Linked DNA regions of Coturnix japonica. Each later gene encodes a partner of the first gene's protein in a complex. Links are inferred from orthologs where the notes say so. Each region holds a gene or a part of one and is shown on either strand. Other genes may lie near its edges.

Region 1 (3,810 bases):
GGGGCTGCTGGGCTGGAGATGGTTTATTCTGGTGATGCTTGGCAGTGCCTTGCTCTGTGCACAGGCTGCTGCTGTTGGGCTGCATCCAGGTCTACGTCCTCCAACTCTTCTTTCTCCCCTTCCTTTGTTCACTAGAAAGAAACCCAGGGGATGGTCTCAATAAAAGTCATTCCCAACCAGCAAAGCCGCCTCCCTGCTCTCCAGGTAAGTGCAGCTTCCAGACCCGTGGCTGTGGGGCTGGGTGGGACCAGAGCAAACCACGGGGGTTGGTGCTGGTCTGGTTGTCCTCTTCCCTTCACTGAGCTGTTGAAGGAGGAAGAGACCTGGCCTGTGCAAATGAGCAGATGTATAAACCAGATGTGTGTGTAGAAGCATGCGTCAGAGGTACATGTGTGCAGTGTTTGGTAATGCAAAAGCAGCTGTGTGTGTGCATCGGGAAGCACAAGAGCCTCCTGTTCCCTGTGAGCACTGCCATGACAGAGCTGTGCAGCCATTTCTCTTCTACAGGGTGATGGCAGAGCCCCTAGGTGCAGCACAGGGCACATGCCCACACCATCACTGATGCTTAGTGCCTCAGCTGCAGGGTGAATGATTTAGCTCTGTCTGCTGTCAGCACGTTGGTAGGAACCGTTAGCAGTGAGCAAGTGGGAGGAAGGAAGTGGTGGGGGAGAGGAAGAGAGCTTCTGCTGCCACTGCATGGGAAGGGCTGACACACTGTGGCAGGGGTGACATGTTCAGATGGGTGCACTTGGCTGGTTTTGTCTTTGGAGCTCTGCTTTGGCTGAAGTGCTCAGGATAGCAGGGAAGGCTGGGATGATGTCAGGTATACTGACCTGCTCCAGGTGCAGGAGCGGAGCCCAGCATGGCCCCTCCATTGAGGACAGACAATTTACAGCAAGTAAAAACTGCCTCTTAGCCCTTGCTGTCTTTGTTCCTGCTCAGCCAACCTTGCATGTGTTTGTGTATTAAGTGCTGGCCCTATCTACCCTCCCTGTTGGCCAGGCCAGCTCAGCACCTGGGGAGAACTTACCTCTGACCAAAAGAACATGGCTGCTGGCTCACCTGCACCTGCTCCGGGTTCAGAGAAGGACACGGGGACAAACCCTTGCCCAGCAACAACTGCTGTACTCCCTTTCATTGCATCCGGGCTCCCAGGAAGCACAGGTCATATTGTGCCTGTGTCTCTGCTTGTTGCAATCCCCTGCTGGGAGCAAAGTAACTCCTGGTTTTGTTTCTTCTCCTCTGTCCCCACGCGCATCTTAATTTCACAGTGTGACAGGTAGGATGGGGCAGATCCCAGCACCACGATGCCATGGGTAAACAGCTCCAGCTGGCCACACAGCTCGGCAGCTGGCAATTTGAGGCCAGCCACAGACCTCCTGGGGCAATTCTGTTTGGAAGGATCCTAATAAGAAGCACTGAGTGCTCCGGTCTCTTAGGGTCACTTCCAGCTGCAGGCTTTTGACTATAAACAGTAGCACTCCTTGTGCTGGATCCTGCTGGGTATTTCAACTTCCAGCCCCAGAAATGGGGTTGGCAGGCGTTTGGCAAATAGTCTGCACTGGGAGCTGACCCGGGGCAGTGTCTGAAGGTAACTCTTGTTGGTGGGGTCTTTCCAAATGAGGAGTGACCTGGCTATGTCTAGCCAGGGGCACCAGGGCTGAAGGAGAGGGCTCCAGGCAGGTGCCTGGGCAGTACTTGCTGCATGTCCCTCATGTGCTTGTGTTGACGACTATCTTCCTGGCACTGGAGAGCGCTTTCAGAACAAGCGTCAGTCTTGAGCAGGTGGCTGGATGGATCCTGGAAGGACATTCCATTTTTGTTGTTTTCCTTGAGAGGTCTCATGGCACAGTGTGATCCATGTGCTCTGCTTTTCTGGCAGCAAAAGAGAACCATGTTCGTGTCCTGTTGGCCCCGTGCGTCTGGCAGATCACAGCAGCATTGCTGGAGGAACGTACTGTGGGGAAATTGTTTTGATATGGTCTAAGGACAGCATGGTCTGTCCTACCTGGGGAGGACCTGAGCGCAGATGTGTGTGCTGTACCTTCCTCCCAGGGAGAGGTGGTACTGAAGAGCCAGGACAGTCTCAGGCAGGGATAGATGTGACACGGTGCTTTGGGCTAGCAGAAGGCCCTGTGCCATGCAGGGCTGCCCTGCTTGCTCCTGGCTGCTCACTGCAGAACCCAGGCCTGCCAAGGGGCTACACAGACAGAGATTGAGCACCAGCTGCAGGGCACGTGGTCCTGCAGAGAGGCAGCAGTTCTTTCACCAGCTCCTATTGCTGAGCTGGTGCTGGGAGATGCAGCATGGAGTCAGGAACTGGATATGGCCATACTGATCCCAGCCCTTTCTCTCTTTCAGATGTTCATGAGGGCACAATTTGACTATGACCCCAGGAAAGACAACCTCATCCCCTGCAAGGAAGCAGGGCTGAAGTTCCAGACAGGTGACGTGATTCAGATCATCAACAAGGATGACAGCAACTGGTGGCAGGGCCGTGTGGAAGGCTCCAGTACCGAGTCAGCAGGACTCATCCCTTCCCCTGAACTGCAGGAGTGGTAAGTCCCTTTGCAGGAAATCCCAGTCTGGGCATAAGATGCCACATGTCCATCTCATGGCTTTGGTGCACGGAGGTCCTGTGTCATGCATGGCAAGCATTAGGTGCGTTCTGACAGGATCTGAGCTGTCTCACCATGACTGCCATGACCCATCACAGCCCTGCATAAGGATGTGGTTGCTGGGTTTGGCTGGAAGTGCTGGATCTGGGGCTCAGTGACCATGCTGGGTAGTACCAGTGCCACTGCTGGGGAAGGAGGCACGCCTCACCTCATCTGCTCCAGGATGAGTCTTTGCTTGTCCCAGCAGTCACCCCACTGCATGTGTGAGGGATGATCCCTCTGCTCCCCAGGGCCCCCAAACACAGTGGGTGTTATTCTCTCTTGGCAGGCGTGTGGCGAGTGTCACCCAATCCAGTCAGAGCGAAGCCCAGAGCTGCAGCCCCTTTGGGAAGAAAAAGAAGTACAAAGATAAATACCTAGCCAAGCACAGCTCAAGTAAGTGCAAGCAGGGTGCTGGGCCCCCAAACCCTGCAGGCTGCCAAATGCGGGGCAGGAGCTGGCCCTGCACAGCCAGCAGCGTCGCTTTTGGGGCACGTGCTTGTCATCTGCTTGCTTAAACCCCGTGCTAAGCAGTGCTTGGCCTGCTCCAGGACAGCAAAGGCAGTGGCCTGAGGACGTGCTGGCTCCTAGCCCAACCTACAGCTCCGACCGATAGCAAACAAGGCCGTAAATCAGAGAGATAAATAAAGCTTCCCCAGCAACAAGCTCTCTGCAACTTCCCACTGCCTCCCCACCCGGCCCCAGGGTCCTACTGCCCTGAGCAGAAACAGAGTGAGAAAACATCTAACTCCTTTAGAGGCTGCTAGTCCAGCCTCTCAGCACCACACATATGCCATGTACTGGTTGCTGCTGGGGCTGGTGCTCTTTCCCAAGCCAGACAAGCAGAGGAAAACCCACAGCCCATCTTGACTGCTCCCTAGATTTTGCTGAAGGATCTGGCTTTGCTCCAGCATGCACAGTCCTATCCTGTAGCTGAGACAGCTCTAATTACTCTTATTTCTCCTTCACTGCAGTTTTTGACCAGCTGGATGTAGTTTCATACGAGGAGGTGGTGAGGCTGCCTGCCTTCAAGAGGAAGACACTGGTGCTCATAGGTAGGTCCTGCCCCTGTCCTGCACGTGGTAGGGGCTGTGGGGAACCAGGGCTGAGACAGCACTGCCCTTTGAAAGCTGGTAAGCACTGGGGAGCATTT
Region 2 (4,495 bases), on another chromosome or scaffold:
TACTTAGAAATTATGTATTTGAAAGTTGGGAAGTTCGCATCTCTTTAGTGAAGTTAGGTCTTCTTAATAAAAATAACAACAATAATGACATGAAAAAGAAGAAAGAAAATGGAGATACATTCACAGCACAATATTGAATCCAAGCCAATGAATTTGAGGTCCCAGCTCCATTTTTGGCTTTGTTAGAAGACTTCTTTCCTTCGGTATTCCTGGATTCTAGCCACATGCAAATGTCTGTTACAGAAGAATGATGGAGTAAATATTTTACACACTGCCTAGTATCAGCAGACTGAACTACTGGCTCACTCAGCTCTCCATTGAGTATACAGAGACCCCACCGAGAGTGATGGGATGTTGGAGCTAAGCATGGCTCCCTGACATTATAAGGTATGGTACCCCCATTGAGAAGCAGAATACATTTGCTGACTTTGCAGAAGTGAACAGTTTAAATCTGAAACAGCAATCTGCTCCCACATGGATTGATAGGATTGTACTGCTCTTATAGAATTAATAAAAATCCCTGATCAGCTGCAAGTGAACACAAGGAGATAAGCAAAGAATACAAGCAATTAGGTAACTTAACCCTGCTTAATTTAAATCGGTAGGCAGCTGCTCTAAGGTCTCACCTGCAAGTACCCAGGAATAATTAATATAGTCAGTAATAATTAATATATTGAGTCTAGTCAAAGGGTTTTGGTGATTCTTTATATGTTTTTACACCCATTTAAAAGATTTTCATTATACTTCTGAAGCAAATGCGTTTTCCCAAATATGCTGCCTTTCTGTAACACATCTGCTGTCCATACTGTGCTGCCCCTGGTAGTACATCAGCTTTTTGATGTCTTATAACTTACAAATATTACTGGAATTTTACTAACAAATAAGACCTTTGTCCCCAGCCCTGGTCCCCAAAACTTCATCCACTATACAAATAACGCCCTGGTTTTACTGTGCCAGATTATGTTACAGATTTCTCTTTAATTTTATTCTTTCTCTGTCATTTGATCCATATAATTAAAAAATAAACAGATAAACAAACAAACAAACAAACAAAAAACACCAAAAACAATAATCAGAGGGACACAATGTGAAATAAGATACATTCTGTATGAATCAGTATGAGAAATTATGAGGGCAAGTAAAGAATAGACAGTCTTTTTTCTTTTTTCTTTTTTTATCAGGCTGAATTCTTATTCTAGCAGGATTGAAAACCACTTATTTGGTGTTTTGAACTGGTTCTTGGCTTGTCACCAGGCCAAGACTGTCACTAGACATGAAAACTTTGGTCTGGACCCTTGGTGATACTGCACAAGGAGCAAAATGAACCTCACTGAGTCACTGCTGCCCTCCTGCACATGTAATTAAGAGCACCAGTGGAAGTTTATTCACACTTTTGTAAACCCAAACTCAGGATCCTGAATTAGCCTGCCTGTTTCTTTCCTGTCTATTACAGAAAAACAAACGTTAACAGAAACAATAGTAAACAAGTCATTATCGCCTAAACTGCTGAGTAATATAGAATAACATATAAGAGCTATCATCTAATCTTTGGAGTTTGTTGGAACTTGCAAAAAAGAAATAAAGGGTAAACAGAAATTGCTGCCTGGGATTCCAGAGCTACTGCTCGCTGGGCTGTTTCTGCTGGATCAGCCTGTCCCATTGAAAGCTCAGGAAGCACCGCTGCCATTAGCTTCCATATAGACCAAATATTCTGACAGCACAGCCCAAATTTCCAGCAGCTCCCAGCAATCCTGTCTGTACATTTTGTCTTCATTACTGATACCACAGAATGATAAACAATTCTGCTATTGGCAATTTGTTTATTAAAAATATTACAAAATTACTATCTCAAATTAAAACAGGAAAGATTATACCAAAATCATGAAGGAGAGGGTCACATCCTGCTGTTGCAGCGCTGAAAACTTTCCTCAGTTTATCAGACCAGAATCCATCCCCTTCTCTTCCGCTTTCTTTTTTTATGCTAACCCAAAAGGAATGCAGGCATGCTGCCGTTAAGCATCTGTGTTCACTTGACTGTTCAGGCCAAATTCTCTTTCCAAGTTCACTAAAATATGCAGAGTTATGCCAGCAGAGGACTTGCCCTCTTGCACCCTCCCTTTCTGAGAAGCGAACTTGCTTGTCCTTAAGCCCCCGTTTCTACATTTCCAGAGCAGAAATACATTGTGACTTTAAATATAGATGGTCCGTTTGTGGCTTTGCGTCTCATGTTACACGCAGACAGCCTGGGACTCTAAACAGAAGTTGGGCAGCACCATTAATAGCTTAGAAAAGCATCAGGAAGTTTTCGAAATGCTCTATATTTTCATTCCTGGAGGTGGGGTGGGGAGGGAAAAACATTTAAACTTTCTTAAACCACAGTTTAGACAGAAACATTACTGACTTTGCTTGGTCCTATTCAGGAGTTGGAGTCTGCAGAGCCGTTTCAGTTCTTCACACACATGCACGTACACACACACACAAAGAATTAAAATGGAAAACAGTTTCATTGCAACTTTTTTCCTTCAGGATGAGTCTCAAACATTCTTTTTCTTTTCGTTTTCCCTTTCACATGAAACACATTTGACAATCCTTTCCTGAAGCGGCAGACTGGTAAACCCACTCTTACTGCAAGGAGGGGGGATAAGGGTACTCACGTGGTTGAGATGTCGTATTGTTTTGGTAACTCATAATTTACGCCTTTGAAAAATGCCTTATTTGTGTTGACAGCCTCTCTTCCCTGCTCAGAACCGACGGCGGGATTGAGCAGAACAGCTGGAAGAGCCCAGGAAAATGCAGCTCTTGTTCAGGCTCTCCTTTCCTGGCTCCTGACCCCTTTACAACTGGAAAAGGAAACAGCACATGTGTCATTCTCTTTTGCCTGTGTAGCTCACATGAGCGGGGAGGGGCACACATTTGCAGATAGCAGTAACTGTATTCAAGTTTTGCAAGTTGGATGTATTCCATCCCTTTGCTTTTACTAGCCAGCAACCAGTGGAAAGAAAATGCTCTTTACTTTCTCAGCCAAATTCAGACGCACCTATTAGATTCACCTCCCAAGCCCCTACTGACATTATTTAAGTGCAAAACTCACTGCGCTGTGAGTCCCCTCCAAAAATGCCCGTCATCGCTGGGTGAGATCAAGATCAGAGCTTCCAAGTTTTATTGCCCAGCAGCATCCTTACACTCACAGTCTGATCCTGTCCTTTTAATGGGTGAAAGCTGAGAATGGCATTTACTGGGTCAGAGACATTGCATCTGCATAGAGCGTGAATCTGAAGCGCATTCAGAGTGAGAAATAACCTGTGGCTGAGACACAGGCTGACACATGGGTAACTCCAGTCCTGGGCTCTAACACAAGATTCTTGTGGTATCTCGGGCAAAGCACTTCATCTCTGCCTCAGTTTGTCATCTGCAGAAAAAAGATGACATGTTTTTTTCCTTCTAGTCGTGGTATTTGTATTTTAATCCACAGGGAAGTGTTCTTTATAAATAGAATATGTTCATTGGTCTGCATTACTCCTACTTTGCAGCAAGTTTTTCAGCCTGGACTAGGCTACCAGCTCCCTTGTTTATATTGCTACTATTAGCTATTTCTGTGCTGTGGTGCATCCACATTCACCATTACTGCATACTCCAGTTACTGCAAGTGTCCATATACAGTGAACACCGTGAGCTGTGACTTCTAGGTCCTATCAAAACACAAGTCCTTTATAACACATCTGTCTTAGACAGTATGAAGAGTGGGTGAAGTTTTTGTTTTCCTAGTCCCTGTGAGTCAGGATGAATTAACTGCCTGTCTGTGACAGCAAAAACACAGTACCCATTGGAATGGAAATGGAAAAAAACAGAGTCATGAAATTCAGGCTGAGACTCATCCTGTTTTGTAAAATTGTTGCAGGATATTTCTGTGAAATCATCTCAGTGACCTCCTGCAAGAAATCATTGCTGTGAACTTGGTTCATAGCATTTATTTTACAGCTATAAGATGGAAAGACCAGTGACTTATTTGCATGCCAAAGCCAAATAACAGCTTGTTTGTGAGCACAGATACAATAAACGACTTGGGTCAGCACTTTCCAAGCTCACTGTAGAGAGCTCTGGAACATTCAGTGATGGATGCTACAAAGCAAAGCACAAAACAAAGAGGCAAAAAACTCCTGACACTGGTTTCAACTCACAAAACTGATTTACACCAGATAGCTTCAGTATGGAAATATTGAAAGGCCTGTTACTTCTGTATGTGAAGCACAATTTGCACAGGTAAAATTACATCTTTCTGTCCTGGAGTGTGAGAAATGTTGTTATGCAAATTTTCTACATTTAAGTCCTTAATTATCCAGATCCCTTAATATTTTCTAAACTCTTGATGGAAGGAGTTCTCAGCCATTGTAGCTGAACTGCAGGATGGAAAGCACTCCTGCATTCATTATGTTATTAACAGTGGTCAAAGCACTTCTTAGACATTTTGTGATGGGATACTTAAAATTTCACTACA

What was found.
Region 2: the proteins of MPP1 (region 1) and GYPC are in contact, whole or in part, in an NMR structure (PDB 2EJY), measured with the Homo sapiens proteins. The link is inferred for Coturnix japonica from reciprocal best matches to the Homo sapiens genes MPP1 and GYPC. Residues at the interface, in NP_002427.1 of Homo sapiens: Pro81, Met82, Gly83, Ile84, Leu86, Lys87, Leu88, Leu100, Val130, Gln134; in NP_002092.1 of Homo sapiens: Arg123, Lys124, Glu125, Tyr126, Ile128.

Annotation. Positions count from the first base shown.
Region 1 is NC_029519.1:2,081,089-2,084,898, reverse strand, and holds part of MPP1 (55 kDa erythrocyte membrane protein), read left to right. Parts: intron 1-135; coding exon 136-204; intron 205-2,361; coding exon 2,362-2,558; intron 2,559-2,946; coding exon 2,947-3,053; intron 3,054-3,631; coding exon 3,632-3,712; intron 3,713-3,810. UniProt on the Homo sapiens protein: Essential regulator of neutrophil polarity. Regulates neutrophil polarization by regulating AKT1 phosphorylation through a mechanism that is independent of PIK3CG activity.
Region 2 is NC_029522.1:22,777,976-22,782,470, reverse strand, and holds the start of GYPC (glycophorin-C), read right to left. Parts: upstream 2,891-4,495; 5' UTR 2,689-2,890; coding exon 2,655-2,688; intron 1-2,654. UniProt on the Homo sapiens protein: This protein is a minor sialoglycoprotein in human erythrocyte membranes. The blood group Gerbich antigens and receptors for Plasmodium falciparum merozoites are most likely located within the extracellular domain.